Oreochromis niloticus: one gene and its partner. The protein of the gene in region 1 interacts with the protein of each later gene in a pairwise test. Links are inferred from orthologs where the notes say so. Each region holds a gene or a part of one and is shown on either strand. Other genes may lie near its edges.

Region 1 (16,268 bases):
CCAGCCAGTCAGGCCAAAACTCAGGAATTAAGGCTTTATTTTTCAACGCCTCCACTGTTCCCAGGGCCTCAGAGCTGAATGAGATTAATCCCTTCTCTGTCACCACCATCTGTGTCTAATGCCATAGCTTGCATAGTAGTCACTTTTGGAACATCCAGGTAAAAGAGAGGATGTGCAAAACAGGCAAAAAGAAAGAAATGGTCGAGTCATATGAAGAAGGATTTTTCTAGTGGATAAAAAGTAAATTAGGAAACAACACAAATGCTCCTTTAGGTATTCGTACACCGGAGGGACACATAATTTAAAATAAATTCCATATAAAATATAACATTTATGAACACTTCTGCTGATCTTTAGTGTACTGACAATGACTGACTGAGAGGAACAAATAGATAACAAGTAAGTTATCTTACATGACTGTGAGAGTATTCATCCATCAGGAAAATTTTAAAAACTGTATTAACATAGCTAACTTTTCCACAAGGAAAGATAAGTTAGAGTTTTTTGCATATCAGAGTGTACAGATACAGTTTGTTTATATATGTAGAAAGAGATCATTAAGTCTTCTTTGAGAAAGTTTGAAAGGCATAAATGACCTTGACTTGGTTGGGCTGATACTGTGGATAAGGAGGCCTAAACGTCGCATTGGGTGGCACCATGCATGAGCTGGGGATTTACAATGTCTCTAGACCGCACACAGACAAATCAGAAGAGTGAGGGATGGATGAAAGGAGAGCGGAGATATGGAAAAGTAGCAACAACAAAAAAAGAAGATTAAATGTGCCCTGTTTTAATGTTACAGAATTATATATTTTAAGCTGTTCTGGGGGCAGAAAATGACTTATCGTGATAATAATATCAAATCACTGAACTGCAGGCACTCATTAAATTAAATAACATCTTTGGATTACAAACTTAAGTGCATTCCAACCAAAGACCATCACATAGTGAACCCAAAATTACCAAAAATGATTTTCTTTAGACAGTCTGCACACTTCTGACATCAAATAAGGCTATACGCTCATCTGTTGTTAAAATATAAATTAATCACAGCAAGTACCCACAGCACCCTGTTTAGTGGAATCGAAACAGCGTATCAGCACAAATACCTGATACTAACGGTCGAGCATGGTGGTGGAGGGGTAACGATTTGAGCTTGTTTTGCAACCTTGGCACTTTTCAATGAGTCAACCATAAACTCTGTATACTGTAAAGTACTCTAGAGTCAGATGTGAGGCCATCTGCCTGACTGCTAATGCTTGGTCCAAACTGTGTCATGCAACAGGACAACGAACCTAAGCATAGCTGCATTGGCGTAACTTTGTGCTGAACAAAATTCCCAGATGAATAAACATGCAACTATTTTGCATGATTAAATATGCAAAATAGATTTTGCTGGTAATACCTGAAATGAGTAAAGAAAATCAACAGCCTGTCTATGCAAGGGGGGTCATAACCCCCCTAACCCCCCTGGAAATTACGTCCCTGCACAGCTGCAAATCTCCAAAAGAATGACTGAAAATGAAGAATCAAGGTGCTACAGTGGTCAGTCGAAGTCCAGACCTCAACTCGGCTGAAATGCTGTGGCACAGCTTTAAGTGAGCTGTGCATGATGCAAATTCAGAGAACTGAAACAATATTGTAAAGAAGAGTGGGCCAAAAGTTGTCCACAGTGATGTCAGAGAATGATAAAGTAATAGAAAAAAAATGATTACTTTAAGTTATTGCTGCTACATAGGTTCTACAAGCTACTGTGTACTTAGTTTTTTAACAGCCTCATTCTGCATTTAGATTTCTTAATGGAATCTCAAAATGTTTCCTCAAATCAAGAAAACTGAATAAAAAAATTTTTTCAACTCAATATGTGGCATACAGTAGAATATATGTACTACTCATTTTATATGAGTTATGAGTTAAAAATCCTTTAAATGTGTCCACTGTACATTTGGACACATTTAAATCAGCTGTTGCGTTCAAGTAAAAGGTGAAATGGCTGTGCTAAACTACTATACTATATGCTATACTACCCCAAGGCCATATTTCTCTTAACTGGGTATATGATTACATTTCACAATAGTCAGCTTCGACAGGTCACACTAACTGCCCGCAGTACTGCTGACAGATTTAAATAGAGAATATCCCAAAGTATCAAGGAACCAGCATAAAAGGCAAATGGAAAAATGTGTTGGTATTCCAATAAGTACAGATTTGTATATCCTTCTCGTTAGATCCTGTTTTCTCTGTGGAGTCTTTCTCTATTCACTGTGAAGTTTTCCACCTCTGATTTGTGTATCAGGAGAAATGCAGTGTAGCCATGAAGGAGAAAGCAATGTGTGCTAAATGGTCCATAAGCCTGGCCTGGCCTGGCCCTGAAAGCCCCTCTGGACCCCATATGGTGAATATGTGTGGACTAGATGCATGGATGCACGGCCTACCCGCAGCCTACCCATACAAATATATAAACACATGCAGATATTCAAAAACTCAAAAACACAGTACATTAACACAAGATACATAAAAATACAACTATGCGTGAAACTGCCAGCTCTCACGCAAATGAAATCTCACAACTACGCAAGCCCTTAGGTATTTCACGTGCAACAACTTTAAAATCCTGCCAATCAAGATAGCAGTGTCTCCACAGATCCTTCTGCACTTAGTGAACTACTACAGATACCATGTTGTACTCCCCCCTAATCCTGTTTGTGAATTGGGGAGCAAAGGGGAGCATAATTGCATGCTTAAACGCCTGAGAAATGGACATCCAGTTCTGCTGAATCTGTGCTTTTTGTGTGGCCTCATTGTTGAGACGTGCAGTCATGCAGTTCTTTGACTTGCAGTCAGTGTTGGGTTAGGGGTGGTTCAGAAGAGTGGAAGTGGGGAAAATATTGTCTAGGGTCCAGTTATTTTATTTCAGTATCAAACAGTCCATGCTTGCCCAATATGCCTGGCAGGAAGAGTGTGATTATTACCAGAGTGGAGTAACACAGGCAGAAATCGGACGCGTTTCCCTCTTTCCATTGCGTTTCTGTCCTGCAGTTTAACACTCTTGTTGTCAGCGATCTAATCAGCTGTTTTTTTGTTTTTTTTAAGGCCCTGTGGAGAATTTTGTAGCAAGATGCCAACTACACAAGCACAAGGACACACACACACAGACATGAACAGACTCCACAGTCAGTTATACTTTCTGGTTGATGGGCTTTCTGGTAGTGTGGCCAAAGAGGACAAACAAAAGGCTCTTCTATGGGGTTGCAGTGTAATGAGAGGCAGTGTGATTGTAAATATGTTGCTCTGCAGAGTTTTCCATCTCACTGCAGGACAAAGGGGACCAGCCATCAAATTCGGGTCATTAGAGGCTTCTACGTTGTAAATCAATTTGCTGAGCAGAATACGTTGCGTCATCATCTGTCTGTGGCCCCAAACTGCTCAACAGAGGCTGAAGGATTCTCCACTTATGAAATCAGAATGACAAAAAGTGGTTTTGTATATTTACCTCTTACCGTTTCAGTGTGGTCGCAGGCCTGAGAGCACTCTGACATTTAGAGGGAGGTTAATTATCAGTTTTTGGAGGAGCGAGTGTGTGAGAGCAGAAGGAGTTTGGATGAGACGTGCTGGATAATGTTTAAAGTTTATTCAAGCCTTATATAACTTTATTAAAAAGAACTACAGCACTTTTGTCTCCAGCCTTGCTAAATGGACACTATTTACAGTGACTAGCTCTTACATTTATAATGATAAATGAGACAATGACAAGATAATGGGTGGATTTCAAAAAATTGCAGCTGTGACAACACAATTTGAAGTGATTCTGAGACATCCTGGCATCTTTAAAACAATATAAATACATAGATGACAGTCTTAATTGCATACTGCCTATGATTTGGAGTGGTGCAGTCTCTAAGGATGTAATCACGTCAGAAGTCAGTGATGCAAATTATCTTATTAACTGTATTCAAAACTACAATTACTGCCTGGGAGTTGTAGAACTCCTCCGCTGGTCAAAATAAAGTTTATATTCATGTATTCATATTTAAAATGAATAGCACATAGACAAAAGATCTGTACAGTCACCACAGGTTCAGAGTGGGAACCCAAGATCTGTATCCAGCCAAATGTATGAACATTATGAAATGTTAATAATTGAGTAATGGTGTTGAATAATGGCCAAGAAGTTTTTCGGGGGGGTTGCGGAACATTAAATTTGTCACAGTAAAGTTTCTCCTTTGACCATTTGTACATGTATGATTTTTTTGTCTTCCTCCCCTCACCCCAGCTAGTCATGCCAGATGGCGACTCCTCCCTGAGCCTGGTTCTGCCAGAGGTTTCTTCCTGTTAAAAGGAGGTTTTTCCTTCCCAATGCCACCAAAGCACTTGCTCAAAGGGGATCATATGATTGCTGGGTTTTTCTCTGTTTTCTTTGTATCATTGTAGGGTCTATACCTTACAATATTAAGTGCCTTGAGGTAACTGTTGTTGTGTTTCCTGCTATATAAATAAAACTGAATTGAATTAAAATGATTCACTTCTGTGAAATTTTGTAGTAGTACAAAATTAGAGTGAGCATTAAAAAATTATGACAGAAAGATGTTTTGTTAGCTATTCACATCTAAAATCTCTGTATAATATCCTTTTGTGGCCAGTTTAAAGAAATTACCTCAGGGAGTTCCTGATATTTTTCATTAATTTGAACAGTACATATGGACAACTGGAGGAATTGAAAGAAAGTTTTCATAAAAGTAAGATCATTTCCTAGAATTATACTACCGTGAATGGTTAGAGAAAGATTAGCTCTGCAGCAAAAGACCATTACTATGAAACCAATGCAACTGGTACAAAAAAAAGTAAAAACATGTCAGAAATGTTCATCTTTTTTAAAAATCCACACTCATTTAATTAAAGCTTTGTGGATATGTTGCTCTTAGACATCTTACTTAATTTAAATTAAACTATTTTCAGCTTTTGCAGGACACACTTATACCATGAATGAATTAAACAGATGAATTAAACAACTACGACGAAGAGAAAAGCATGAATTATCAACCTAATTTTCCGTCTGTGCAATCAGTGCTTATGAAGTTGAAACTGTCATTTTTGGCACAGTGGTAATTGCTTTTGGCTCATAGCGGACTTTCTGACTCATGAGAGAGAGGACGTGGAACACAGGAGTGTTTCCGAAGCTCCCGAGCGCAGGACAAGACTTCCATTCAGGTCTTTCTAGGCGCTGATTACAACGTACGACAGAAGTTTCACCCATGTCTGGTCCAACGCTGTTTTATTCAAATCAAACCTCAACTGAAGCAAATAAATCCGACTGAGATTAAAGCTACTGCTGCAGGAAACACCTCGTCCACAAAAGTGCATGTTCTTAAGTCAATACAGGTAGGTTCTTAGGAAAGCCAGTGGGGAAATTTCACCATGAATGCAAGAGAATGCAACACTCTGACCTAATTAGAATAAATTAGAACATATTTCCTTTCTTTTTTTTAGAGATTAAAATGTTAAAATGTTAAATATTCATCTCAAGAAAGCACAAAGCTGAGATAGCAAGAATGTTATACACAAAGTCATTACTTAACAGAAGTGAAAACTAACTCGTTGCACTTTTACTTAAGTGTACTTTTGCAAAATTGAATTTTTTTTCTATTTAGTTTAGTTTCTATTTAGTCACATTTCAGGAGAGATCACTGCAGTAGACCAAAAATACCACCATGCATGTTACTTCTCATACATAAGTAAATATCTTCTAGATCAGCTAGATAGATTCGGAATTTTACTATAGTTTGGTTTATTGGGTGATGTATAATGTATGAGAGATTTATAATCACAACTTTTGGTGTTGCATTTTTTCCATAATGATATAAACACAAAAAATAGTACAACAGTAGCCGATAAATGTACATTTATGCACCAGATAAAGATACATTTTTATGGGTGGCTACAATGAGTTAATATCTCTGCACACCTGAATGAATAATCTATGCACACTGTTTCACTTGCCACTATTTATTTTCACATTTTTATTATTTTTATTTTAGTGCTGGATCTGACCACTTCCATCTTCTCTTTTTTTGGCAGTTCAGAAATCAGGACCCATATTCAAGTTAGAGTTTGTCTGGCTATAGAGCTGGCTCAAGCTGAAAGGCGAGCAGAGACAACATGGGCTTTCTTGAAGGCAGGTAGGCTCCCAAGAAGGCTGCTATAAATTCTAGCTCTCTATCAAGTTTTTCCAACATAAAAAAGAGCAGTGATAAAATAAAATACATCTTTTTTCTCCTCCAATTTGATCAAGAAGAAGCTAAGTTTGAAAACCATCAACTGATTTCAGAAATGAAAAATCAATATCCAGCACTTGGCACAATATCTCAAAGAAGTCAATTAGTCAATTTTGAAAATGAGAAGGTTTTGCCAGAAGCCAGTAATCTATTTATCTCAACTCTATCTGTCTGAGTCGTGAATTTCTAACGGGGCCAGAAAAGGTCCTTGTGATTTAGTGAGAGAACAAGTGTGTGTGAGATGTAGTGGAGTATGTAAACCGTTTGACATCAGTGTTTGGGCTTTCTTTATGAGAACATCTGCAGCAGCTGCCCTATAAATTCCCAATGTTGAGAAAGCAGGAACAAAAAGTTCCATTTTTGTATAGCAGTGTACCATGGCAAGAAGCGGACCCAGTCGTGCCTCATCTGGAGCAGCATGGCCGGCGTTTTGGGAAAATCAAATTGGGGATGGAGAACTGAGATAATGTTGGTGTATGTTTACAAGCCGGTTCTGCACAGCAACAGACAACCTTGAAGAGATCTTACTGATTGCCACCATATCAGCCTCAGACAACAGGCAAGACATCTGTCTTGGTTTTACTTTTCAACAGACCAAATCTGTGTGGTATTCTGGCATTTAATGGGAAATATTGGCTGATGTGACAATGTTGTTGTTTCCTATTTAAGAATGTCTTCAGTGCCTGTGATATCTAAATGTTAAAGTTTCAACTAGCCCCATAGACATATCTGTTTAACAAATCCCATAGGCAATCAGAATTTCACATTATTAGCACATTATTAGCAGACACACTCAGTGCTAAATTAAACATACACTCATTCAAATGCTTCTGGCTTCTTGGCAGATTTTTGGGACTTTTCAGACTTGTGAAAAATGCTGACAATTCAATTCAATTCAGTTTTTTTTATAAGGTGCCAAATCACAACAATAGTTACTTTGGGGCAATTTATATTGTAAGGTAAAGACCCCACAATAATACAGAGTGACAGTGGGAAGGAAAAACTTCCTTTTAACAGGAAGAAACCTCTGGCAGAACCATACTCGGGAAAGGGCTTCCGTCTTTTGTAACTGGTTGGGGTTATGGAGAAGAGGCATGCTGACATGCTGTGGAAGAAAGCCAATAATGAATAATAATAACTAATGATTAAATCCAGAGTGGTGTATAAACACAGAGTGAGTGAAAAGGTGAGTGAAGAAGATTGATTTTAGTGGAGGGAGAAATCCAGAAAAAAACAACACTTTACATAAAAGTTACAAACTGATTTGCATGTCATTGAGGGAAATAAGTCCCATCCCTAAAACTCAGCCAGAATTATTGTTCCCACAGATTGGCTGTGTGCCATGATTGCAATCAGCCAATCAATCAATCACAGATACTCCTGATCTCAACCTGTATATCGAATCATCCCGGCTCAGAGTGACGCTGAAAAACTAGTTATGCATTTATTCCTTCTAGCCTGGACTATTGTAATTTACTATTATCAAGATGTACTAAAAACACCCTGAAAAGCCTTCATCTTATCCAGAATCTCTGCAGCATGAGTACTGACAGGGACTAGATAGAGAGAGCATATTTCTCCTAAATTGGCTTCTCTTCACTTGCTGCCTGTTAAATCCAATTTTAAATCTCATTTAAAAACCTGCTCCTCACATAACAGATCTTAAATAATCAGGCCCCATCTTATCTTAATGACCTTTTATCACCCCATTAGAGCACTTCGCTCTCAGACTGCAGGCTTAATTGTTGTTCCTAGAGTATTTAAAAGCAGAATGGGAGGCAGAGCCTTCAGCTTTCAGGCCCCTCTTAGGTGGAACCAGCTTCCAATTTGGATTTGGGAGATATACACCATCTCTACTTTTAAGATTAGACTTAAAACTTTCCTTTTTGCTAAAGCATATAGTTAGGGTTGGATCAGGTGACCCCGAGGCCTCACTTAGTTACACTGCAATAGGTCTAAGCTGCTCCGGGATTTCCATGATGCATTGATTGTTTCTTCTTCAGTCACTTCACTATGTGTTTATAGACCTCTCTGCATTTAACTATTACTTATCATTAATCTATGGCTCTATTTCAGAGCATGTCTTTGTGCTGTCTTCATCCACTTAGCCCCAGCCAGTCATGGCAGATGGACACCCCCTCCCTGAGATCTTACCTCACGGGGTGAGGATAATCATGACAGGATGAGGATCATCCCAAAACTACATGGGAGGAGTTTGTTAATGATCTGATGGCAGTCGTGACCACAGTCACCAACAACACCACTGGTAACACACTACACTGTAATGCAGGGATGTAAAACTCATTTTACATCATTTGCTGCATACAGCCTACTTTAAGTCCAGACCAGTGAAACTCTCCTTTCCCTCAGTGTAAAGAAGGTTAATCCTGAGACATTTAGTTATGAGATATCCTAACATAAGAAAAGAAGTACAATTTCAACAGTATGTCTCAGTTTTTGTACACGATAAAGAAATGCTTCTGTAGTAAATCATTCACTACAACTCTTTGGGATTAAGTTGTAAGAAATAAATGTGTTAAATGACAGAAAAAGGGATTTTTTGTTTATTTCACTGAATGTATTTTTATTTAGTTAACTTATAATAATTATATAATTAATTGTTTCACTGTAAATTTCTATATTAGACTGTTCTGTTTTTTTTAAATATTTAACTATTATTTATTAATTTGGTGTAGTATAAATAGCCATGGGGAAGTTCTTTATCAGTACAGTTAAAAAATAAGTCCAAAATTTATGCCCTCCTTAACATTTTCCAAAGCCATCCAGGGGGCTGTATTGCATCCTTTTACAGACTGATTCTGACCGCCTGGCCTTATGTTTGTCACCCCTGCTATAATGGATTAAAATTTTGCAGCGTATGGAAGTTCCCCCTGCTCAAGAAGGCATGTACATGTACAAAAAGTCTGCATCTGATTTAAGAGGGCTCAGCTACAAGGTTTTTTGGCTGCCAGCAGATACTGCAGGTGTACTGGTCATGTAGAAACTGGAGGCAGCAATTGCCTTCTTAGGAGAACATATTATATGCCACCATCTGCTTTTGTCAATGATCATGCCAGCAGGGTACCAGGCAGAGATGGAGAAAGTGCATCATTATCCTCTTTGGCAGGTTAAACTTTTCATCACTGTCAGGAAGTACAAACTCTGCTGTTTTGGGGGGGTTTCTTACAGAAAATCTACAACCAGCTCCACTGCTAATATGTAGGTTCTCAATGCATAAGGCCAACAAATGATCAGTAACCATCTGTGGACAAACACATCCTCACTCAAGTGGAGCCAAGTGAGAGTAAAGTCTTAGTCCATTTACTATGTTTTTTTTTTTTCACTTAGCCAATTCAGGACTGGAACCTATTCCAGCTATCACAGGGTGAGAGGCAAGGTACACCCTGGACAGTTTACCAGTCTAAAGGTCCTTTCACATGAGAAGCTGGGTGGGCTGACCACTGGGTTAAATGAAAGTCCTCTGCACTTTGCAGGATGTACTTACTGTACATAAAACCTTTGTTATCAATTTGAGCACCTACAACTTCAAGTCTCAATCACACACATATTCATACAGAACTTTTATCTACTGTACCATTCATTCACACACACCACACAGATACATCAGAGGCAACTCTGGGTTCAGTATCAATGCACAGGATGGACTGAGGGAACCAGGGATTGAGCTGCCAACCTTCTGATTGGCAGATAGGTAGACCACCCGCTCTTCCACCTAAGCCACCTTAGACTCACACAGCACTTTCCACACAAGAGAGACGCATGGTTAAAGAGATGAAATAGAGCGAATCATTAAACCAGACAATGTTTAATATATTATTTAAATCAAATCAACAAAGCTGCACAAACGACATTTTTATATTTACATTTATTAAATTTAGATTCGTCGGTGAAATTTGTCGAAAGTGCGGTATCGATTGTGAAAACAGATAAACACTAGGCAGCCTGCAGTGGAGCTGATCCTGCTGTGAGCCTGTTGTGCCTTTTCCCCAAATAAAGGACTCTTGGAAGAGGAGAAAGTATGAGCGACTTACTCGGAATTACGTGACTCACACAGATAGGTTTTTCGTTCCTATTTAACCATTTTCCTTTTTTGTATATGATGGCTGAGCTAATCTAGCAGGCTAACAAGCTACAGTGCATTTTCCTCTACCGGAAGAAGATCAGAGAGTGCAGTCTCTGTTTCCTCCTGATGGCTTCAACTTCTGCAGTCGGAAAAGGTATTTTTGTTCTGTTTTTCTTCCTATTCTGTCTGTTTTCTCCGTAGCTAATGTTTATATTTCTATCAAGTAGCTTTTACGTTCAGTTTTACTTTCACAAATTAGTGATTAGCCATATTTTAGCAGTTGGTGGTAAATGTTCCCTCCTGTAAAGAAATTTCTTTCCTTTTTTTGACCCATTTCTTAAAGAGTATTTGCGAAGATTATTGTTATATGTTATAGCCAGTGTTATATTTGTCCAAGGTTAAATTTGCACTCATTTTAATGACTGGAGTTAATGTGAAATTCTTTAATACATCTACATCATTAATAAATATAATGTCACCATGATTTTGCAGCAGAATGGCGTGAAGGTGACAGTTGTCTGGCTCTACACCCAAGACATGGTGTCCTGAGAGAAGCCACTATCCAGAAACTGACCTCCAGCTCTCTTAATGAAGATACAGCATGGGTGTTATTTAAAGACACTAATAAAGATGTGGGAGAGGAAGAACAAGAGGCGGAAGCCATACCTATCTCAAAACTTATGAGACCTGGTTTGAGGGACTTCATGCAGGAGAAACCTTGGTTTCCTACCAGCCTGATAGACCCCAGGTTATGTGTCCCGTTAGAGCTGAGTGATGCTCATGAAGACCGAGTTCCCTATACCATCAATAGATACCTTAGAGATTACCAGCGGGAAGGTATCAGGTTCATTTACAATAACTACATCCGTTCCAGAGGTTGCATCCTGGGAGATGACATGGGCCTGGGAAAGACTGTACAGGTACAAAGCACATTATTTTGTTGTGAGAACTGTTAAAGTGCCAGTGTTTGTTTTTAATTTGGCTTCCTGTGGCTCTCTTCCTTTTCGTTGTTGTCGTCTCTTGGATCTTACCTTAGGTCATTGGTTTTCTGGCTGCTGTATTGCACAAAACAGGCACATGGGAGGACATTGCAAACAACAGGCCCCAGTTTCTGCAGAGTCAGCAGTCATCTAAGCAAAGTAATCCCAGCAAAGTAGGTTTTTTTTAAGCTTGCTTACATAGAAATGTGACCTGTGTTTTAACAGAATTTTCAAGAAAAATACACACACTATGTATTTGACCAAGTGCAACAAGTGACAGCAGTGAAATATCACAGTCACAATTTTGACATTTCTACGACATTTCTGTTTAAGGTGTTCCTTATTGTGGCCCCGCTGTCAGTGCTTTATAACTGGAAAGATGAGCTGGACACATGGGGTCACTTCCAGTGTGTGGTGGTCCACGGACTGAGGAAAGAGGAGGAGTTGGCCCGCATTAGGAAGGGGCGAGTTGAAATTGCCCTCACTACCTATGAAACTCTTCGTCTCTGCCTGGATCAGTTTAATAAGTAAGACCCACGCCTAAAAAACATGTATAGTACATTTAGTACTATTTATAAATTAGGCTCCTTAAGAAATGGTTTATTTTGGTTTTTATTTATTTTTAAGGCACCTTAGTTGCATTTTAGATCAATTTTGTGCCGTAAATAAATTTGCCCTATCTATTTATGCCCTAGATTATACCTTTGCCTCTTCCCTACAGGATTGACTGGTCTGCTGTGGTTGTGGATGAGGCCCACAAGATAAAAAATCCAGACTCTCAGATCACTCAGGCCATGAAGGAGCTAAGATGTAAGGTTAGAGAGCTTGTGTTGTTATTTCAGAATTCTCGTATTTAGTATGGACTACTAATGAGTCTGTGTCAAATATCTGATAGTGGAAAGTGTATTTGTATTTGAGGCTCTACACATTAATTTCTAAACTTTTTAGCAAGCTCAACTTTGAGTCAGGATTCTAACTTTGTATTTCCATTAGGTCAGAATTGGTCTCACTGGAACCATCTTACAGAACAACCTGGAGGAGCTGTGGTGTGTTTTGGATTGGTGGGTTAAAATTACAACCTTCTTATCTTTTAAAAACTGTGCGAGGCATAAAGCAGTGCAAGTCGGGAACATGTTGAGATATGGGAGGCTATTTCACTTTACCCTTTCTTTTTACAGCCCTCAGCAAGTGTTTGACCACTGTAGGATTTCAGTTGCTCAACATTTCTTGGCCTCCTCTGTTGTTTTTATTGTTTCATAATTTGCAGTGTTTTTAATGGGCCATGATAGGCTGCCAAGAGAGGGACTGTGGTACTGCATGAGGAAATCAGGAGTGGCAGAGAAAACTATGAGGTTGGTGCAGGACATGTACGAGGACACCAGTGAAATGTGAGTTCAAGCTGGAAGTGGGATTACATCACGGATCAGCTCTGAGCTCTTTGTTATTTGTGATGGTAATGGACAGGTTGACAGATGAGGTCAGGCAAAAGTCTCTGTGGACTATAACGTTTGTAGATGGCATTGCAATCTGTAGTGAGGGTAGTGAGCAGGCAGACAGGCAAAGAGCAGCAGTAGTGGCGTGCATTAATTTAAATACCTGGGATCAACCATTCAAAGCAATGGATAGTTCACAACAGTGAAGAAGCGAGTGCTGGCAGGGTGGAGAGGGTGGAGATGAGTGTAAAGGGTGATGTGTTCCCGAAATGTTGCAGCAAGTGTGAAAGTAAGGTTTACAAGATGGTTTTGAGACCTGCTGTGTGCTTATTTGGAGATGACACCACTAATGACCACAGGAGGTACAGCTGGAGGTGGCAGATCTGAAGACGTTAAGATATTTTAGCTTAGGTTGAGCGGTTTCGAGACAAAGTTGGAAGATTGAGATGTTTCGAACATCCAGAGCAGGGATAATGTATATATTGGACAAAGGATGCTGAATGTGCACCTTCCAGGTAGGAGGTTGAGAAGAGGACCACAGAGAAGATTCATACATGTAGTGAAGGAGGACATGCAGAGGGTTGGTGTTGGAGAGCAGCATGCTAGTTACAGCGTGAGATGTAGTTAGATGCTCAACTGTGGTGACACCTAAAAAGAGCAGCCTAAAGAAGGCATTTTTAACTAGACCATTTTAGCACCTGGATTCCCTTAATGCAAACAGAATGTAGGTTGGCATCATGCTGCTGAAATAAGCCTTCCCTGAAAAACATCTGTGACTGTTCAACATCAATGGTCCCATCAATGTGCAGAGATGGGCACTAATACCTCCACAAATGCTTGCCTCTGGTCTCATCATTAACAGGAACCGTTTAATGCTTTACATCAGTCCATCATAGATGTGATGGAGCTCTTCAACAATTAGCACATTTTAAAAATCTTACTTTAATATGTAGACTTTGCCCCATTTTCAGTTAAATTTAATGAATTGCATTATGTTTTTATTTAACTTCTATGCAGGGATTCAGATTTATGTTTACTTTTCTCTTTAGGGCTATACCAGGTTGTCTTGATAGCTTAGGCCACTTCAAGAACAAGTTTTCAGATCCAATTGAGCAAGGGCAGAGGCACAGCGCAACCAAACGTGCTCTCGCTACAGGGAGGAAGGCCGTCAGAGCCCTGGTGAGGAAGATTTCTCATTGGTTCTTCAGAAGGACTAAAGCTATTATCAAAGAACAGCTGCCCAAGAAGGACGACCGGGTAAGACTAGATGTCAGAGTGACCAACACTTTTATCATTTACTGTCATTACATTTTTTTTAATTCAATCAAATTTATTTGACTTAATTACCTTCTCTTTTTTGGAAATTGCTTATGTATGTGTTGTGTTTCGTCCAAGGTGGTGTATTGCTCTATGACAGAGTTTCAGCAGACAGTGTATCAGGCAGTGCTCGACAGTGAAGATGTGACATTACTCCTAAGGTCATCAGAAAAATGTGACTGTCACAGCAGACGCACCCGCAGAAGCTGCTGCTATAAAGTTCGTTTTTCTCTTCTGCTATCGTGTGTCCCTGCAATTTACCGAGCACAACTTGATTCTATATGTTGAGACCAAACTCACTTTTATTGGATATTTTGTTTGTTTGTTTACATTTTATTTTGCCCACTTTAACGTATCACATCAAAATATCACAATTTATTTTAACTGCAGTCTATATAAAGTGTCTTTGTGAAGGTGCCTGATCTTTTTTTTCATTAAGTAACTGTTTTAAACTTCATTATAGTCTGCTAGAATACACCAAGTAATAGATCCCATTAAAACAGAAAGGAAACTTTATGCTTTTGCATAAAAATCACATGTATAAAAATCAACAAAAAGATGCTTTGTCTCTTACATTAAATAATATTTTCCTTCTATCATAGACAAACACTGATGGTGTTCATATGAAGGAGCTGTACTTTAGTTACCTGGCCATATTGAGAAAGGTTGCGAACCATGTAGCACTCCTTCAGTCTACTCCAGGCACCAGCAAGAAACAGGTAGAGTTGTGTTTCTTTGCACATGATTTTGGATAGATTCTCTCAAGATTTGGTTCATTAAAATGACTTTTCTACTTATTTTTAGGAAAAGTATGTGAGTGCTGTTTGTGCAAAGGTATTCCAGAAGTTTCCGGAATTTGTGCATAGATGCAAAAATGAAGCATTTGAAGCCCTGTCAGACCCAATGTACAGTGGAAAAATGAAGGTAAAGCACGAAAACAGCTGTGTGTGATCTCTTCACTGGCGGTTTCTAAAGGGGGTTAACAGGTTTATGCTTTCTTTTAGGTGCTGCAGAAGCTTCTCAAATTTTATCTACAAAAGAGAGATAAAGTGCTTATTTTTTCTCTCTCAACCAAGGTGAGAGCTGCGTTTGCATTTTTTGTGTTTCTGTGACTTTGGATGTGTGATTGAAGGTTTATATGTTGTGCAAGGAGTGAATTAAATACTGAGTCATATCTATTTTGATAGATTCCAATTTGTTCATGTAAATCAGGAGTTTTCTTCTAGAGTTCAACAGGGTCTTTTTACATTATACATATTTTCCTTAGGCGGTGTTATTAAAAAGCACTCTGTGCAGTTTCATTGCTATGCCGATGATACCCAGCTTTATTTTTTCATGAAGCCAGATGATACAAATCTACCAGTTAAATTACTGGCATTTCTTAAAGACCTGGATTACCTCTAATTTCCTACTTCCAAAACTGAGGTTTTTGTACTTGATCCTAAAAATCTTGGAAACATGGTGTCTAACCGGATATTCTGGATGGCATTAACGTGACCTTAAGTAACACTATGAGAAGTCTTGGAGTTCTTTGTGACCAGGATATGTCCTTCTGTATGCATATTAAACACATATGCATGTGCAAATATAGGACTCCCTTCCTTCATTTGCAAAATATCATCATGTCTCAGAGTGATCCTGAGAAACCAGTTCTAAATCTTTCCGTTAAAAGAGAGTTTTTCCTTCCCACTGTTGCAATGTGCTTGCTTATAGGGGGTTGTGCAATTGTTGGGGTTTCTTTCTAATATTGTAGGGTTTTCACCTTACAATACAAAGTACTTTGAGGCAACTGTTGTTGTGAATTGGTGCTATGCAAATAAAATTAAATTGAACAAAGGAGCAGCCTGAACCCGGCTAATCGCTTCTTCTGTTAAATGAATTGCTTATAGGATGTGGTTTTCTCATTACATCATGTTTATTTATAAGTTTGTGGTGAAGACAATTAGACTGAGACTGCAGTCTAATGGTTGTAGTCACCTGATACAGTATAGCTCATTTAAGCTTCAGGTATATCAATCAGCAGTTATTATAGTTTTTGCTTTCTGTTCAGTTTAATTTCACTCTCTCCAGGATTACATCAGGCGTCTTTGTGAGGTTCTGTTGAAATGCTGCTGCGTCTGCTATAATTCTGGAATTAGTTTCAGAGTGGGTTTACTCGTTGAATTTTTAATAGTTTTAGATT
Region 2 (15,595 bases), on another chromosome or scaffold:
GGTGGGTAAGAAAGTCAGCAGGAGATAAACGCTCGCTCACACAACATGTGGACTTTCACAAAGCTGCATCCTCTGGGCTTGTGTTTGAAAACAACACTTTCCCCTTTGACTGATTATAAAGTGAAGGTGTTGTCTCGGTGTTGCGTGAATCATTTATTATCGGCGCATGTTCGGTTGAGAAAGAGTGCTTAAACTCCACCTCACCCTGAGCCGTGTGAAGTCTGAACTCAAAGTGTCCACGCATACCTGCTGTTACACTCACAGCCAGTCCTCTGGTCCTCTGCCTGCTGCTCGTTCACTGAAACACATGCAAACAAGTACACATACAGGTACACTTTCACCACACATCAAGGGTATTCAAATCCACATCAGTTACCATAGCAACCAGACTTTAGTCTTGGCTGCTTCTTCTGAGGTAATCAGAGACCTAGAAAGCAGAGGTTTAAGGGGGTTTGACAGAGACGGGGATCAAAGTGGAACAAAAGGTGTGCTGCTGCTCCAGAAGGAGAAAAGCAAGCAGAAGTACTGTTGATTTCTATTCCCCTGTGAGTTACTGTAATGTTGAGTATTACTTCAGTAATACTCAATCTTTCTGATTTCCTTTCACATTACTACAATTCTGTAATTTTTCTCAGCTTTTAGAGCTTTCTGATTCTCTACTCGATAAAATCATTCTTAACCCGGCCGTGCATGTGTGGGCTCCATCTTCCATTAACTTATCAATGAGCTTACGAAATAGACTATTTAAAACAAATATAGTATTTACAAGTTTTCTTCTGTTATTCACAGCACATTTTGAGACACTTTCTATGATAACACAATCACATCTTGTTCTCATTGTCACGCTGAAGTGGACAAGAGGATGCAAAATGCTCAAAACTAGGATATTCAGACAGTTGCTATTCCATGAAAAATGGGCATCCGCCTAGGAAGATTACAAAAAGCTCAGGGACAGTCAGTAAAGAACTGTTGGTGAAATTTATTGGCCTGCTTTGAACTTTTTGAATAGAAAAGTAGAACAAAACACAAGTTGGAATGTTTTTCTTGTTTCAAAGTGTTTCTTATTTTTAAAACATTAGGAAGGAAGGAAGGAAGGAAGGAAGGAAGGAAGGAAGGAGCCTGTATGCCTGTAAAGAGTAGGGATCTGTTCTTTAGTACACTGCTGAAAAAAATAAAGGAATACTTTAAAAACATCACATGTCAATAGGAAAAAAAAATGCATATTTAATGATATGGAATGTGTTAGGAATTACAGGACGCCACAGAAACTGATGAAAATGAAAACGATCAACCTACAGACAGATGATTTCAAAAACACCCTGAAAGTGAAAGTGAAAAAATGATGCACCAGGCTAGTCCATTTCACAGCAAATAAAAATGTTACTCAGTAGCTGGTATGGCCCCCATGTGCTTGTATGCATGCCTGATAATATCAGTGCTTCTAATGAGACAACAGATGGTGTCCTGGGGGAACACCTCCCAGATGTGGGCTGTGGCATCGCTGAGCTCCTGGACAGTTTGAGATGCAACCTGGTGGTGTCGGACGTAGCGAAACATAATGTCCCAGAGGTGTTCTGTTGGATTTAGGCCGGGCAAACGCGGAGACCAGTCAATGGTATCGATTCCTTTAGCAGTACAATGTTCTCCACAGCTTCTCCAGACCATTTCACAGCTGTCACATGTGTTCAGGGTGAACCTGTTCTCATCTGTGAAAAGCACACGGCAGCAGTTATGGACCTGCCAATTCTGGCAAATATGGCAAATACCAATGGGGGTCCTGACGTCCCCAACTAGAGGATATCGGGCCCACAGGTCAACCTTAATGAAGTCTTCTTCTGATTGCTTAGTCAGAAACATTCATGCCAGTGGCCTGCTGGAGGTTGTCTTTGTAGGGCTCAGGCAGACAGACAATGTGCTGGGAGACCGTGGTACATATTGATCCTAGTGGAGTTGGTTTGCCTGTGCAACCTCTGAATATCTATATTCCATGTGGACTGAACAGCATGACAACAGTCATAGCACCCTCTGAACAGCTGTAGAGTAAGATTAGATAAAGTCCAGCTGGAATGTTGACATTTTTTGCAACATCACAGTGTTTTGACAATTAGATGCAAAACTGCAAAACTGAAGAAGACACACAAAAGAGGATAATGAATTCTAAATTGTTCGTTTGCAGGGCTGTGAGTTTTAATTAGCATTTTGACTAGAGTCTCAACGAGGCAAGTGATTGCTCTTATGAGCGTGTGATTACAGAGGAAATTAGCATCTTCAATTTGCAGAGTACACGGATGAGTGAGCCAGGTGAGTTGGTGAAATCAACTTTAGCTCATTTTAGCCTTTCTTTTCTCATTATGAAAAGGCACAAGCCCATGCACAATTTTGCAGTTTTATTAATCTGAATGAGCTATCATGGACAGGTTCATCTTTAAGGTCATGCATTACACACAAGGACGTTTCATGGAATTCAACAGGAACATGTAACAACAGGGTAAAGCAGTTCCAGTGGATCTTTAACCCTTTCCAAGCACAATACTGCCACAGAAACACGCTGCCTGGACTTGCTTTGAATCTATGCCACTGTTTCCTTGAGCTGCATGTCTGCGTGTCACCATGATAAACAACAGATTGATGAATTTCGAAAAAAAAGAAAAAGGCAGTTTTATCAGCTTCCAAGGGAAAGTTATTAAGATCCCACCACGAGCCTGTGATTGACAGGAAATCCCAATGGATTTGGCCTATTACTGCTGATGAAGCAGCACAGTAGCCTTCAAGTCTCAAGTTTAACAACGGATTACTCCATCCCAGCAACTCCTTATTTATCATCATAGAGTGGGGGGTTTTTTGGCTCTGGAGATTTTACGGCCTTTGGGCACTGGATGTTACAGCCGTAGATTATGTCACAACCAATCACCCTCACGCACACTCTGCGGCATTAAATCCTACACTCAGCCGAGGAGACCAACTTGCTCTTCTAGTGTGGGCCATAAAAATCTTTAATCAGCAGGCCTGTGGCATAATTGACCTTTTCCTTTTCTTTGTTCTTGGGGTATTTAAAAGCTGTCAGTCCAAAACCTGATCTTCACGGAAATGTAAACTGATGTTTAATCATCCCCATAGATGACGCGTTACATAAGAACCAGCTTAAGGTTCAAAGTCACGTTGACCCAGGAGACCCAGCCATTGACTGCGAACACACATGTCCCATTCCTAGAGAGATTTAGACATATGTGATATCAGGAAGCACGAAGCGCTGACACTAAACGTTATACTGATCTCAGGCCCACATGACAACAGATTAGAGAAAGAAAGAAGGGCAAGAAAAACGACCCTATTAGAAAGAATGTCGGAAAGAGAACTATAGGTTAAGCTTTTAGAAGATCACAGGGCTAAATTCATATAAAATCAGTTTTGGTTCTAAATATACCAAAAAACAGCCTTTTCTCTTTAATCTCAGTTTTGTGTTTTTAAGTTGTCAGTACTCTTCCTTCATTTCTGTCAAAATGTTAAAAGGAATTACAGATTAACGTGGGAAACCACATCGTAGCCACGTCATGATGAATTCCAATCAAACATACATATATGCAGATAAACACAAATAATAAAAAGAGTGAAAGGCTGCATTCACACATCCGACGCGTAAACACATCCAGAACTTGGAAAATGGGAATGACTGGCTCCATTATGTTTTGTGGCAACATCCAAACGCGACCTGAAAGATAAAAACTTGTCTCTGCTTTTCCTTAAGTGTCAGGTTTTCTTCTTTGTGTTCTGCTACGCACACAAAAAAAGAAAAATGTTACATTAAGTATTGCCAGACCTGCAAACATACTCTTTCATGGTCCTGTATAGATTTGCAAATTCACAGCTATGCCATAGCGAGAAGGCGTTGTGTCTGTGCCAACAGATAAGATCATTCAATGGAAAATTTTCATTCAATTTAAACATTCTGCTCTTCATAAATCTTGCTCTCTGGAGCCATATGGCCAATCACAAGGAGGGCTTCTGAGCCAGATGGCCAATGGCAATGACCCTTACTCAAATCAGGGTTAATCTCAGGAAGACTACGATAAGATTACTCTGCTTCATACCAATTAGAGCAAGAAGAACATGTGATTGACAAGCCTATGGAAAATCAGATATTATATAATTACACTTCTACACTGATGAGCCACAAGTTTAAAACCACCAACAGGTGAAGTAAATAACACTGTTCACCTTGTTGCTGGGAAACCTTAACTCTTGGCATTTGTATGGCTGATACTTTGACACGTGTCAGCCATCTAAACATTGCTATAGATCCAGCCCACCTCCCGCCATGGCACTCTGAAAGTACAATGCACCTCGTCATACAGCTAGGACTGAGATCACAATGATGACGCAGCCTCAAAACTCATCAGATCCCGGTCTGACTGACTCCAAACTCCCAGTGCCAGACATCACAGGACATCCCCAGAGGTTTGTTTAAAATGATTCGACTTCACAAAAATCTACCGTGTGAAAATTTAATATAAGAAGATGTTACAAAAAATTAAGTGATTAATTAAAAAAAGAGGGTTACTACTGAAAAAGACATTTAAAAAGTGTTTAACGAAATCATGGTGGTGATATTCAAGTTTAGCACATTTTGGGCATGTCTGACCCACAAATTCAGCAGGCTAGAAAAGCAGCGACAAGATTTACTCTATTGGCAAACAGAAATCTTCTTAGCACAGCCTGATCTGTGGATGTGGCAGCAAGCCTGGAGGAGGATGAGTCCAATACTATATTAGGGTCTACACAGATTTGCATGCGTGTGTCTTTACGTTTAAATCATTTTTATATGATTCTTTTGATTTTGCAGTGATGCCACTGAGTTAATGATGATGACAAGTTGTAAATACCATGCACAGGGTTAGTGAGGCGTTTTAAAAGTGACAAATTGAAAGCAGCTCAGTGAGAGTGCTGTCTGAAACCCTCGTGCTTTATCGGTGGCCTTTTTTTCCCATAATTCATGCTTGGTGGATTTAAAAGCTATTCCAAATTAGAGTCACTAATACAGTTTGTTGTTAGTTAAGAGCCCCTTTTCAGTGCCATCTGTAAGAATAAATAAAAATAATATCGTGGTAGATTTTGAGGATTTTTCTTGCCAGTTCAGGCTGCTGGTTATTGTTTTTTTCTTAAAATGCAATGAACTTAAGAGCTTAAAGGAAAATTACATTGTGAACACATCTTGCTGTTAACATGCTGTTTGCCTTGAGATTTCTTTTTGTGTCCCTTTTTTCCACTTTTTAATTTAGTCAAACATACAAAGCCGGTCCTTGTAATCAAAGCCTAAGCGCTTGTAGGCAGGGGCTTTAGAGACATAATTAAAAGGCCAGAGTGAGAGAAGGCAGCTTTGGTGTACAAAGTGACAGAAAGTGAGAGTCTGATACAAGGTTGTTTAGAACATCAGTGATTTAAAGAAGAGGATAAAAGGACAGAGGGAGGAGAAAGGAGTAGAGTGAAAGAGCGAGAAAGAAATGTGTCATGCAGCTGGACAGATTATCTACTGATGGCCCATAAGATCAAGTCACACATGGCTAGAAGTCATCAGCACTCCAGCATGTCCAGATTGCATTTTAACAGCTACAAGCATCTAACTGTATCTCTAAAGTGGGAGGACACAAATCAGAAAGTGGTACTGGTTTATAAAGATTACTATTATTTTATTTATTGTTTTAGCTTACGTAAATGGCCTGTATTTATATAGCGCTTTCTAGTCCCTAAGGACCCCAAAGCGCTTTACATATCCAGTCATTCACCCATTCACACACACATTCACACACTGGTAATGGCAAGCTAAGTTGTAGCCACAGCCACCCTGGGGCGCACTGACAGAGGCGAGGCTGCCGGACACTGGCGCCACCGGGCCCTCTGACCACCACCAGTAGGCAACGGGTGAAGTGTCTTGCCCAAGGACACAACGACCGAGACTGTCCGAGCCGGGGCTCGAACCGGCAACCTTCCGATTACAAGGCGAACTCCCAACTCTTGAGCCACGATCGCCCTACGTCTGCTTTTTTGTGCTTGAATCTGCAGAAGAGCTGAGACAATAGAAAGTCCTGGGCAAGAGATTGGAAATTAGATTAGACCAGACTTATAACACTCTTTTAATCACACTAACAGTACTTTTGATCCTGATTACTTCCAGCAAAATAAAGCAAGCATATGTGAGCACAAGTAAGTGTGCAATGATATGGAAAGAGAAAGAGATTTGCAGAGATTTTGTGTGTACTGTATATAACTGTGCATTTTTTAGAACACATAATTTAACATTTGGACCCATGCATTTGTGTATTAACTGGAGGAGCACGAGGATCATTAACAGAAATGTGCCACTAGACTAACGGTTTTCAGTGATAGTGGTGCATTTTTGAAGTGCGTCTGTAAGCTTTCAAACTCAGTCTGCTATCAGTGCCATCCACTTACCATAAACTGAAGTGGAAACAGCTAAGCTACATTTCTTATTGATTAAGTACTGGCTAATGATGTTTTCCTGATGTTTATTTTTACTGATGTTTTTATTGTTTTATTCGTAATAGTGTTCACATTCTTCTCTACCACTTTTAGAATTGTTTTATTATTTTTTTAAGTTATTTGTAGATTCACTTATTTATACTCCTCAAAAACAAAAACAAAAGAACTGGAATGGTTTTAAAGGTGGAGGCCAGTGATGTGTTTTTCCTCCTCCTAAGCTGACTGTATGTTTGTTTGGTTGGTTGGTTGGTTGGTTGGTTAGGGTCAGTGTCACTACTCTCTACAGAGGTTGCACAGGCAGACCAACCCTGCCAGGATCAATATGTACCATTGCCAGAAGGTTTGCTGTGCCTTTCAGTACAGTCTCAAGAGCGTAGAGGAGATTCCAGGAGACAGACAGTTATTCTAAGAGACCTGGACAGAGCTGTAGAAGATCTATAAGTCATGAGCATGACCAGTATCTGCTCCAGAGCACTGCCAGAGCAACAAAATGACCTCCAGCAGGCCACTAGTGTGAATGTCTCTGACCAAGCAATCAGAAACATTCATGAGCATGGGGTCATGGCCGAACGCCTTCTAGTGGGCAGGACCAGTACTGGTGCCGTGTGCTTTTCACAGATGAGAGCAGGTTTACTCTCACCCTTTTTCAAAACAGATTCAGTAGTAAGAACAACAGCTTAATCTGTGTCAAGATCAGTTTTGACAATACAGTGCACCATGTACCAAAATATTAATGTCAGATAAGGGGGAAGAAAGGAAAATATGGAAGATACTGTACAAACACTGGCTACTTACCCTCAAACTGAAAATTTACCTTGTGGTTTTCATGCCTCTGCCCACCACTCAGGTTGGGCAAAAAATGTTAGTATCATATGATGCTACTGGGAAGTTTGCCTTTAACCTTTTTGAAATAAGTGTTATGATGTCACGATTTTGTCTTACTTGAATTTTTGTTGATCCTAAAGTATGGGAAAACACGTGTTCTGTGAGTTCACTGTGACTTTTGAATCTTGAAGTCAAAGAAATTTTCTCAAGGTCCTTTCAGATATTGTATCTCTGGGACAGACAGTGAGATTACATAATGTCTTCATTCATGAGTGCTGAAATAAAAAGCAAATCTAGAAAGTTTTAAGCTCAAAGGGCGTGGTGGGTGAAGGTGGGGGTTAGATTTCTTACAGGCGTTAGATGAAAAATAAAAAAAAAAGTAGCGCTCTACCGCCATCTAACGGACAATAAAGTCTGAATCGCTAAAAAAAAAATGCCGTTTGCTAATCCTTTGTTGTCGTGGCTGTATGGTGCCATTACATCCTTGTCCGCTAAGTGTCGCTAGCAACTCTGTCAGCTCGTGACATCACGGTTACGCTCTGCTGTGATTGGTTGTTTTAGGGTTGTCAGCGGCACCAGAGCTCGTGCAAACCGTGTTGTAAACAGTAAGGTTAGCCTCGTTTCATTTCACGTGATGTTGCGGCAGACTTTGGAAGCGTTGTAAAGCTGCGTACGTAAAGAGAGCGGTATGTCAGGAAGACACAGGTCGCTGCCTTCATGGATGGCAAAAAAAGAGGAGAAAAGCCAAGAAAAGAAGCCACTGAAGAGAAAGCGGAAAGCTGCCAGGTAGTTATCGTAAGAAACACGATCGGGGTCGGTTTAAGGCCCCATTTAAAGCTCCTTAATTTTTTTTAAACTTACCCAATCCACTGATATGTTCCCAGGTCTGCTTTCTACTGTATGAACGAGCAAGAGCTGGTAGAAGCAGCTGTTTCCTATTTCACAAACGGCTCATGTGAGGACCTGACACTCGTGACTCGCCAGCAGGTGGTGCTGTTTCTCTTTTCAAACATTTGATTTCCTCCCCCACATGCCCTATATAAGTAATATAATGATGTTTTAACATCACAGTCCATTATATCCAATATTACTGTATGCAGTTAAACTCTTAATCATCACATGTGGGTTACTCTCTTAACCGTCGTTTAATATTTGCTTGATCTTCCCTTCACCCACACCCAGGGTAAACAAAAAGCAGTGGACACAGTTAAGAAGATGGGGAAATCCACAAATTCACAGCTGACAGCAAATCCAGTTGCTGCAGAGGAGTCCCCATCAGACTGCACTGAAGATCTGGACATGACGTATGTTTCAGAAACAGACTTGGACATTACAGAGGTGGAAACATTACTGTACACCAGCAGCCCGCAGCAACAAACACCTGAGGGTCAGCGTTCAGGAACAGTTGAGAATGTGGAGGCTGGGAAGACGAATGAACCACCGCAGACAGCAGCAGAGGACAGCGATGCCTTACGCCTTGTACGGGAAATTTTTTTCAGCTGATTAACTTATTTGACACTAAAAAGTTTTTGCATTAAACTGAAAAGTGTCAGTTGGGGGAATGCTTCCTAAATTACGAATTCAGGTGAGAGTCCAGTCAGTACTTGAGGACACATAGCTCACAGCTCATCCATAAAGAAAAAGTTTGGAGAACGGATCCATTAATTGATGTCTCAGAGAGGTACATCCCAGCAGCGCTTCACAGGACTACATACGGAGACAAGTAATTAATTCACCAAAGCTTCTGCACTGAAATCAAATTTCAGCGCTTCAGTCTATGTTTCATTGGTATCATCTAGCACCTCGTGTGAGGGGAACTACTTATCTTACAGTGTGACAGTTACTTAAGTGTTGTGTTTGTTTTTTTGTCACTTGGGTCCAAACTCTAATTCAACATAAAATTGACAACATGGCATTTTTTTAGGTTTACTGAAGGTTTTAATGAGGAAAAAAAAACACAACGGTTTTTGTTTTCACATGCATGACACTGTATATGAAACTGACAGCAGTTGTGGGTTTTTCACCACAAAGGTTTGGTGTTAGAAATGTTTCCACCAGAAGACCTAACAAGTTGCTGCTAGTACCCTGAGCATGGTACTGTTGCAGTACAAGTGCCCTTGCTCTGTGGGGAGAAACTTGAAAAAAGCCTTGCTTTTGCATTAAACTGGGTGTAATTAAAGCATACTGTTATTCATGTGAAGTAACTAGAAATTGTAGTTACAGAAATCACATTACTGTTGCTCCTTGAATATATGAGGTAGCAGATATAAGAACACACTTTGAAAAATAAATATATTCTTTATTCCTCATAGCTTATATAGAAATAGCTATCAGCACAATTAGGGTACCACTCACGCATCCACCAGCTGCACATTTCAGACTCAACAGATTTTTTGTTGTGTTATACATTATGTGTCTTGGCTTTCATAAACCACTTGATAAAGTGATACAAAGTGATATTACAGCACCAAAAGACACGTTAAACATGTTGAGGGATACAGCTTATCATTAAATACATCATGACAGCAATTAACATATTCTCCAAAGCAGATTCGTGTGTAATTGCATTAATATAGCACTTTTCTACTTTTACGGACCACTCAAAGGTCTTTGTGATATGATCATAATCGCTTTTTTAAACTGCACAGTCTGTGGCTCATGTTTGCATTTAAGCAGGGATGAGCTTAAGCATTTCGCTGCGTTCCCAGTGTGATCTCAGTCGCTTACCTGACACATGGGTCAGTGCAGATGTGATAGCCAGCTCCATCACCACACCCAAATAGATATAGAACCAAATGGTTATGTTTTGCCAGCTCACATATGACTGATAGACAAACAAAAAACTACAAAGGCCAGCCAGGCTGAGCAAGCCTGCTCCGACCTGGAAAGTTGTGCTGCAAAAGATAGCAGGTTCGTCATTGTCAGAGATGACTGAATGCATGCCCATCAGGGCAAACGCCACAATAATCACTGGAAAATACACAGCTAGGTAAACCGCTACTCTGACAGAGTTAGAATGTGGCTTAGATAAAGTCTCAGCTTCAGCTCCTTGGGATTGCGATAGCTCGTACAGGTGACTCTTATGCACATTATCACAGGACCATTCACCAGTTTGTTGGATCTGACAGAATCTGTAGGGGCTGATGAGGACTTTATCGGAGTGAATGAACACACCATCAAAAGGCACCAAGGAGATCATCATCTGAACCATGACAAGCAGGAGAAGCAGAAAGATCCCACGAATGTGACACAAGGGACTCCTCACAGCACATCGGACTCTCTGCTCAGGCCACATCCTCACTAATCTGTAGATTAAATAAAGAGTCATGCGATGAATCAAAACAAACATTCTGCAAACTAAGCACGAGAATGATATATATCAGAGCAGAAAAGAGAAGCTCAAAGTACCACAGATCCTAAAGACGTTTGACTGTCTTGCAGCATAAGAACACACTGATGTTACAGTACATGTGTCAGTGGTTTTGTGTTCAGCCTCAGTCAGCCGATCAGCACGTTTACTTCCCCAATATGAAGGCCTTATGTCATATAACTGTATTCATGTTCCTGTCATCATGACTATACTGAACAACTAATGCATAAGCTTTCTAAAAGGAAATCTACAACTGCCCAGGGCTTTAATAACACACGATTTAGTGGTTTCCATTTAAAACTTTGACAGTGAACATGCCTAGTTTAATGGCAGAATGTCTAGTTTGACTGAGTAAGGCAGATCCTTTAATTATTATTATTATTATTATTATCGTTTTTGTTGTTGTTTACTTACGTTTAGTAACCGAGAAAGGGCAACGAAGCCAATCTGGTTCAGGAAGTTCAGTGGTTGTGCGCTGGAGCGCGCACCGTGGACGCGGAGAATGTGCGCCTCAGCAGTCTGTGCAGGGCTCAGCTCCTCTCTGCTGTGCGCACTTCGAGCGGTTTAACAAGCAGTCTCCTCCACAAGCGGGATCATCAGCAAATTTATATATTTATCTAGGCCTGCTGCAACGCCAAAAGTACAAAGGTTGGTGAAATGCTATTATCCTCCTAGACATTTTAACCAGTGTTTTTGGTCCTCTACTATTTGGATACAATTTAACAGTCTGAGCACCGCGATAGGGAGGCGGGGTCGTCTGCGAAACTTGTTTTTCATTTCGCGATCACCAAGTATTAATGTTTACTGGCTAACTTATGCTCGCATTTTTTAAATTTATTCTTTTAGTAGCGCATAATACTAGTTATGTGAGTTATGCTTCGTTTTCATAAGCGACTGGAACATATTATTTTATAGAATCTAAGAAAGACAAAACAACAATGAATCTGCAGACTTTAATTGACCTTTTAAAGTAAGGGGATGTTTAGTGAAAGTCTATGAAGTGGCCAAAAGTTGTGATTGCACACGTCATGATGTGTCCAGAGTGTTTTTTGTGGTCGGCTTGTGTATGTCAGGGTAAGGGAAGTAAAGAATTAATCAAACAAGTGCTTTAGTCAACAGCTTTAGTTGGTCCTTGGGCGCTCCAGAAACATATTTAGACATCTCAGAAAAAGTAGAGCACACAGTGCAAAGAAGAACATAATGTACTAAAACACACAAATTTCATTTCCACCAGTCAAATAAGCGTCTCTCTTGGCATTAGTTTAAATCCATTTACATTTATTTTGACTTTCTGTACAGGCTCATTATGGGAAACAGGCTCAGCAGAAGGCGAGAAACCCCAGCCAGCACCCATGAAACTGTGGCTGCTGAAGAGAACACCACAAAGGAGCCAGGAAACGACTCTGCAGTAACAGAGACTCACGAAGCCGCCAAAACGGAGGATTTAGATGTGGTGGTGGGAGAGCCAGTGACACCAGTGGCGTGTTTACCTAATGAAGAATGTGTTGCGGAGTTTAAAGAAGCAGAGGCTTCCAGTGCCTCAGCCCTGAAAAATGATACAGAACCAGCACCTGTGGTAAAGGAAGCCCCAGTCCAACCTGAACCTCAGGTCTCAGCCAGCACACCTTCACCTTCAGAACCAGCTGCTGAAGCTGAGCTTGCTCCTGACTCCGAACCAGACATTGAGATAGTCCAGCCCATCTCAGAGCCAGCACCAGCCTCAGTGGAGCATCTGGAGAACCAGGCGGATCAACTAACACAAGAGTCTCTCCATGAACTGGTTCTTTCTTCGCCCCCTTTGACCGACTCTGGTCCCCCTGATTTCGTGCCCTCCCAAGATCCCAACCCTGTCCCAGTCAATCCAGACGAGCCATTAGACCTCCCAGCAGGTGAGGAACGCCAAGATGGTGATGAGGCTGCTGACAATTCCACGCTTGAGCCAGAGAAGCCAACAGAAGCACATCTGGAAAAGCCGATGGAGGTGGAGGCTGAAGAGAGTTTGGAGAAGCTTGGAAGTGATGTCAATGAGGAAAGCGTTAGTGAAACCCCAAAGAACTCGGAGCTGAGAGGAAATGACCTTGTCAGTGACCTCATTCCAAGAGATGTCAATGTCCCTGATGACACTCCCATCACAGACATGAGCACATCTACTGAGCTGATGTAAATCAATCAGAGGATTCATGAAGGAAGTGAAACCCTCTAAATCTAAATTGTGAATGGATCGAAAAACAGTGGTTTGTCTCACCCTAAGTGCCCACATTAATGCTAATATAGCCTTTTTTTTTTATTTTAAATGAACCAAAGGTGCCGAAAAGCAGTGTGTGTGTACATGTGTGTGTTGTGATGGAAAGAAGAGTGACCTAGAATACTTCATTATTAGACAGAGATCTTCATCTATGAAGATCTAGGCAGAAATTAAATGTGTCTTGTATATATTTGAGCAGTTTTTTTGTTTTAAAAAAATTTGCAACAAAAAGAAAAATGAAAAGAAGGTTAATGAAAGAAATGTAAAGGACAAAGAATGCAACTTCAGCTGGAAACGGCATATGCATTCCACAACTGGTTACAAGTATCTACTACACATTTATGAATTAACATAGTAATACTTGGCATTTTCAATAATCCACTAATCAGAATGATTGTCATCTTATGCAATTTTAAATAAAATAAATGAATTTTCAATTTCAAGTAGTTGCCTTTGAAAATAAACTGGCATTTACACATAACAATCTTGCTCCCTGTTTTTCAAAAGTATATTTTATAGTATCTGGTCACACTGAAGATTCTGGGAATGGATTTTTGTGGGGGAGGAAAAATAGCAGATATTCGGGGCATGTTTGACATACTACATGTACGGGGCACTCTGCAAATGGCAATAGAAATCTATGTAGCAAATCCCAGTTCATTTAAGAGGGACTGGAGCTTCTCACTGTCTCGTGGGAGAGAGGACATCAGAGGAGGGAGGAGAAAGGGGGGAGACTAAGCCACATTCTTTCCAGAGGAAGGAGATTTTCATGGGGCCTGGGTCAAAAGTCTTCAGTGTGACTGCATTTCAGTCCATGAGAAATCTGTTCCTCACATGCCTCCCCTTGCTTACACTACATTGCTATCCCAAAATCTTGTCTGAGTAGTCAGGACTGGTATGAGAGGCCACTCCTAAATGCCTTAAAACTTTAATCTACAGTCATGTGGAAAGAAAGCACACACTTTTGCAATACTGTGGTTTAATTTATCAGGTCATAAAAAATAACCTAAAACTGGGTAACCACAACCTCAGATATTACATCATAACAAGATTTAACCACAGTGTAGAAGCAGTGTGTGAAAAGCAGCCGACAGGTGCTGCTAACCAAATACATTTGATTAATTGATAATTAGCAAACGTTTGCACCTCTATAAAAGCAGAGATTTTGGCAGAGTGCTGGTTTGGAGCATTGCCCATTTTTTCATGAGTGGAAAACATTTAAGACGGTTTCCAATCTTCCCAGGTGTGGATATCTCCACGTGCACGGTGGTGGAGGGGTGAATATTTGGGCTCAGTTTGCAGCTACAGGATCTGGACACATTGCAGTCATTAAGTCGACAGTGAACTCCTCTGTACATCAGTCTAGAGTCTCACGTGAGGCCATGTATTAGTCTTTTATATCCTCGACAATAATGTGAAAGACTGATAGTCATAGAGAAAATGATTACTTCACGTTATTGTTATTAAAGGTGGTTTTACAAGCTACATGGGTGTAGTTAGTTTTTCACATACCACTTCTGCAGTTTAGCTTTTTGTTAAATAAATATAGTGTAATATGTTGTGTTGTTTTTCATTTTAGGTTGTTGTATTTTTTTTTAGTAATTTTAGAACATGGTAAGGACCAGATGATTTTTTAAAAATATCCTGATATGCAAAAGCTTAGAATTGAAAGAGGGTTTACTTGCAAATGTAAATAAGCAATAATTTGCTCATTTACTTTGCCAATTCAACAGAAATACAAATCAATGAAGGGAAAAGCTTAATGCCAGGGTATACACTATCACCAGTAAAAATTTCCCTTTCACCCTTCCATTATTATATGAGGTCTCAAACTATTACAGCCTACGCCCCAGGGCATGGAAAATGGGGAAGACCCATGATTTTAGCAACACACTGATGAGTCCCCACAGAATGGGAGAGGTACTCTAGACAATGATCTCAGTCAAGCTAAGCTTTAAAGGACACATTTTGCAGACTGAGCTGCTTCTTGAGGCACACTGGGAAAGATAAGCAGTTTGATTTGCACTGTGATTCCTGTCATACCAGAGGCTTTCAGCTCAATAAACAAAAGTGCTTGACCTGAGTCCCCTCTCCCCTTGTTGATTTCCTGTCTGTGAACTGAAGCACAAAAACAAAGAAAGCAGGACTTGGCATTTGCTTCTGTGATGCTCTATGTCAAGACCTTAACAGGGTCTAAGCAAAAGAAGCAATCAGACATAATCTAAATAGTCTTTTTTTACCTGAAAACTTTATGGAAAACAACTCAGGTTAATAACTGGTGAAACAGACACCACTTTCTTTAACATGCATATAAAATAAAAAAACAAGAAGCCACAGTCATTTTAATGACCAGGTTATATCCAAACTGCCATACAGTAAATCTGACCTGGACTTAAAACAGTTATGATACAGAAAAATAAATATGTTGAAAACTATACTTATACCGACTATCTGAACACACTGTTCAAAGGCCAGTTAGTCTGTTATACGGTACGATATAGTAATTATACAATAGGTGCTTTTGCATCACTTAAATCTACCTTTTAATATCTATTTCATTCGGGCACAATTCATTCTCAAAGAAACTCCCAGATGAACATAAACCATGAACAAATAATCACAAATAAATAACATCTACAGCGATATTTTCATTTTCAAAC

Evidence for each region.
Region 2: the proteins of ercc6l2 (region 1) and si:ch211-127m7.2 interact in binary tests that used the Homo sapiens proteins (3 or more experiments, as listed by UniProt). The two-hybrid records come from large-scale screens. The link is inferred for Oreochromis niloticus from reciprocal best matches to the Homo sapiens genes ERCC6L2 and CYREN.

The regions. Positions count from the first base shown.
Region 1 is NC_031977.2:22,934,377-22,950,644, forward strand, and holds the start of ercc6l2 (DNA excision repair protein ERCC-6-like 2), read left to right. Parts: upstream 1-10,200; 5' UTR 10,201-10,482; coding exon 10,483-10,510; intron 10,511-10,848; coding exon 10,849-11,276; intron 11,277-11,392; coding exon 11,393-11,509; intron 11,510-11,669; coding exon 11,670-11,863; intron 11,864-12,057; coding exon 12,058-12,151; intron 12,152-12,329; coding exon 12,330-12,397; intron 12,398-13,818; coding exon 13,819-14,026; intron 14,027-14,164; coding exon 14,165-14,305; intron 14,306-14,688; coding exon 14,689-14,805; intron 14,806-14,890; coding exon 14,891-15,010; intron 15,011-15,090; coding exon 15,091-15,162; intron 15,163-16,268. UniProt on the Homo sapiens protein: Promotes double-strand break (DSB) end-joining and facilitates programmed recombination by controlling how DNA ends are joined in a spatially oriented manner during repair.
Region 2 is NC_031972.2:55,540,892-55,556,486, reverse strand, and holds si:ch211-127m7.2 (cell cycle regulator of non-homologous end joining), read left to right. Parts: upstream 1-7,845; 5' UTR 7,846-8,008; coding exon 8,009-8,106; intron 8,107-8,181; exon of another isoform or gene 8,182-8,204; coding exon 8,205-8,307; intron 8,308-8,502; coding exon 8,503-8,823; 3' UTR 8,824-9,240; downstream 9,241-15,595. Other genes in the region: neto2b (neuropilin and tolloid-like protein 2), read right to left, coding at 205-244; fibrous sheath CABYR-binding protein, read left to right, coding at 11,997-12,854. UniProt on the Homo sapiens protein: Cell-cycle-specific regulator of classical non-homologous end joining (NHEJ) of DNA double-strand break (DSB) repair, which can act both as an activator or inhibitor of NHEJ, depending on the cell cycle phase.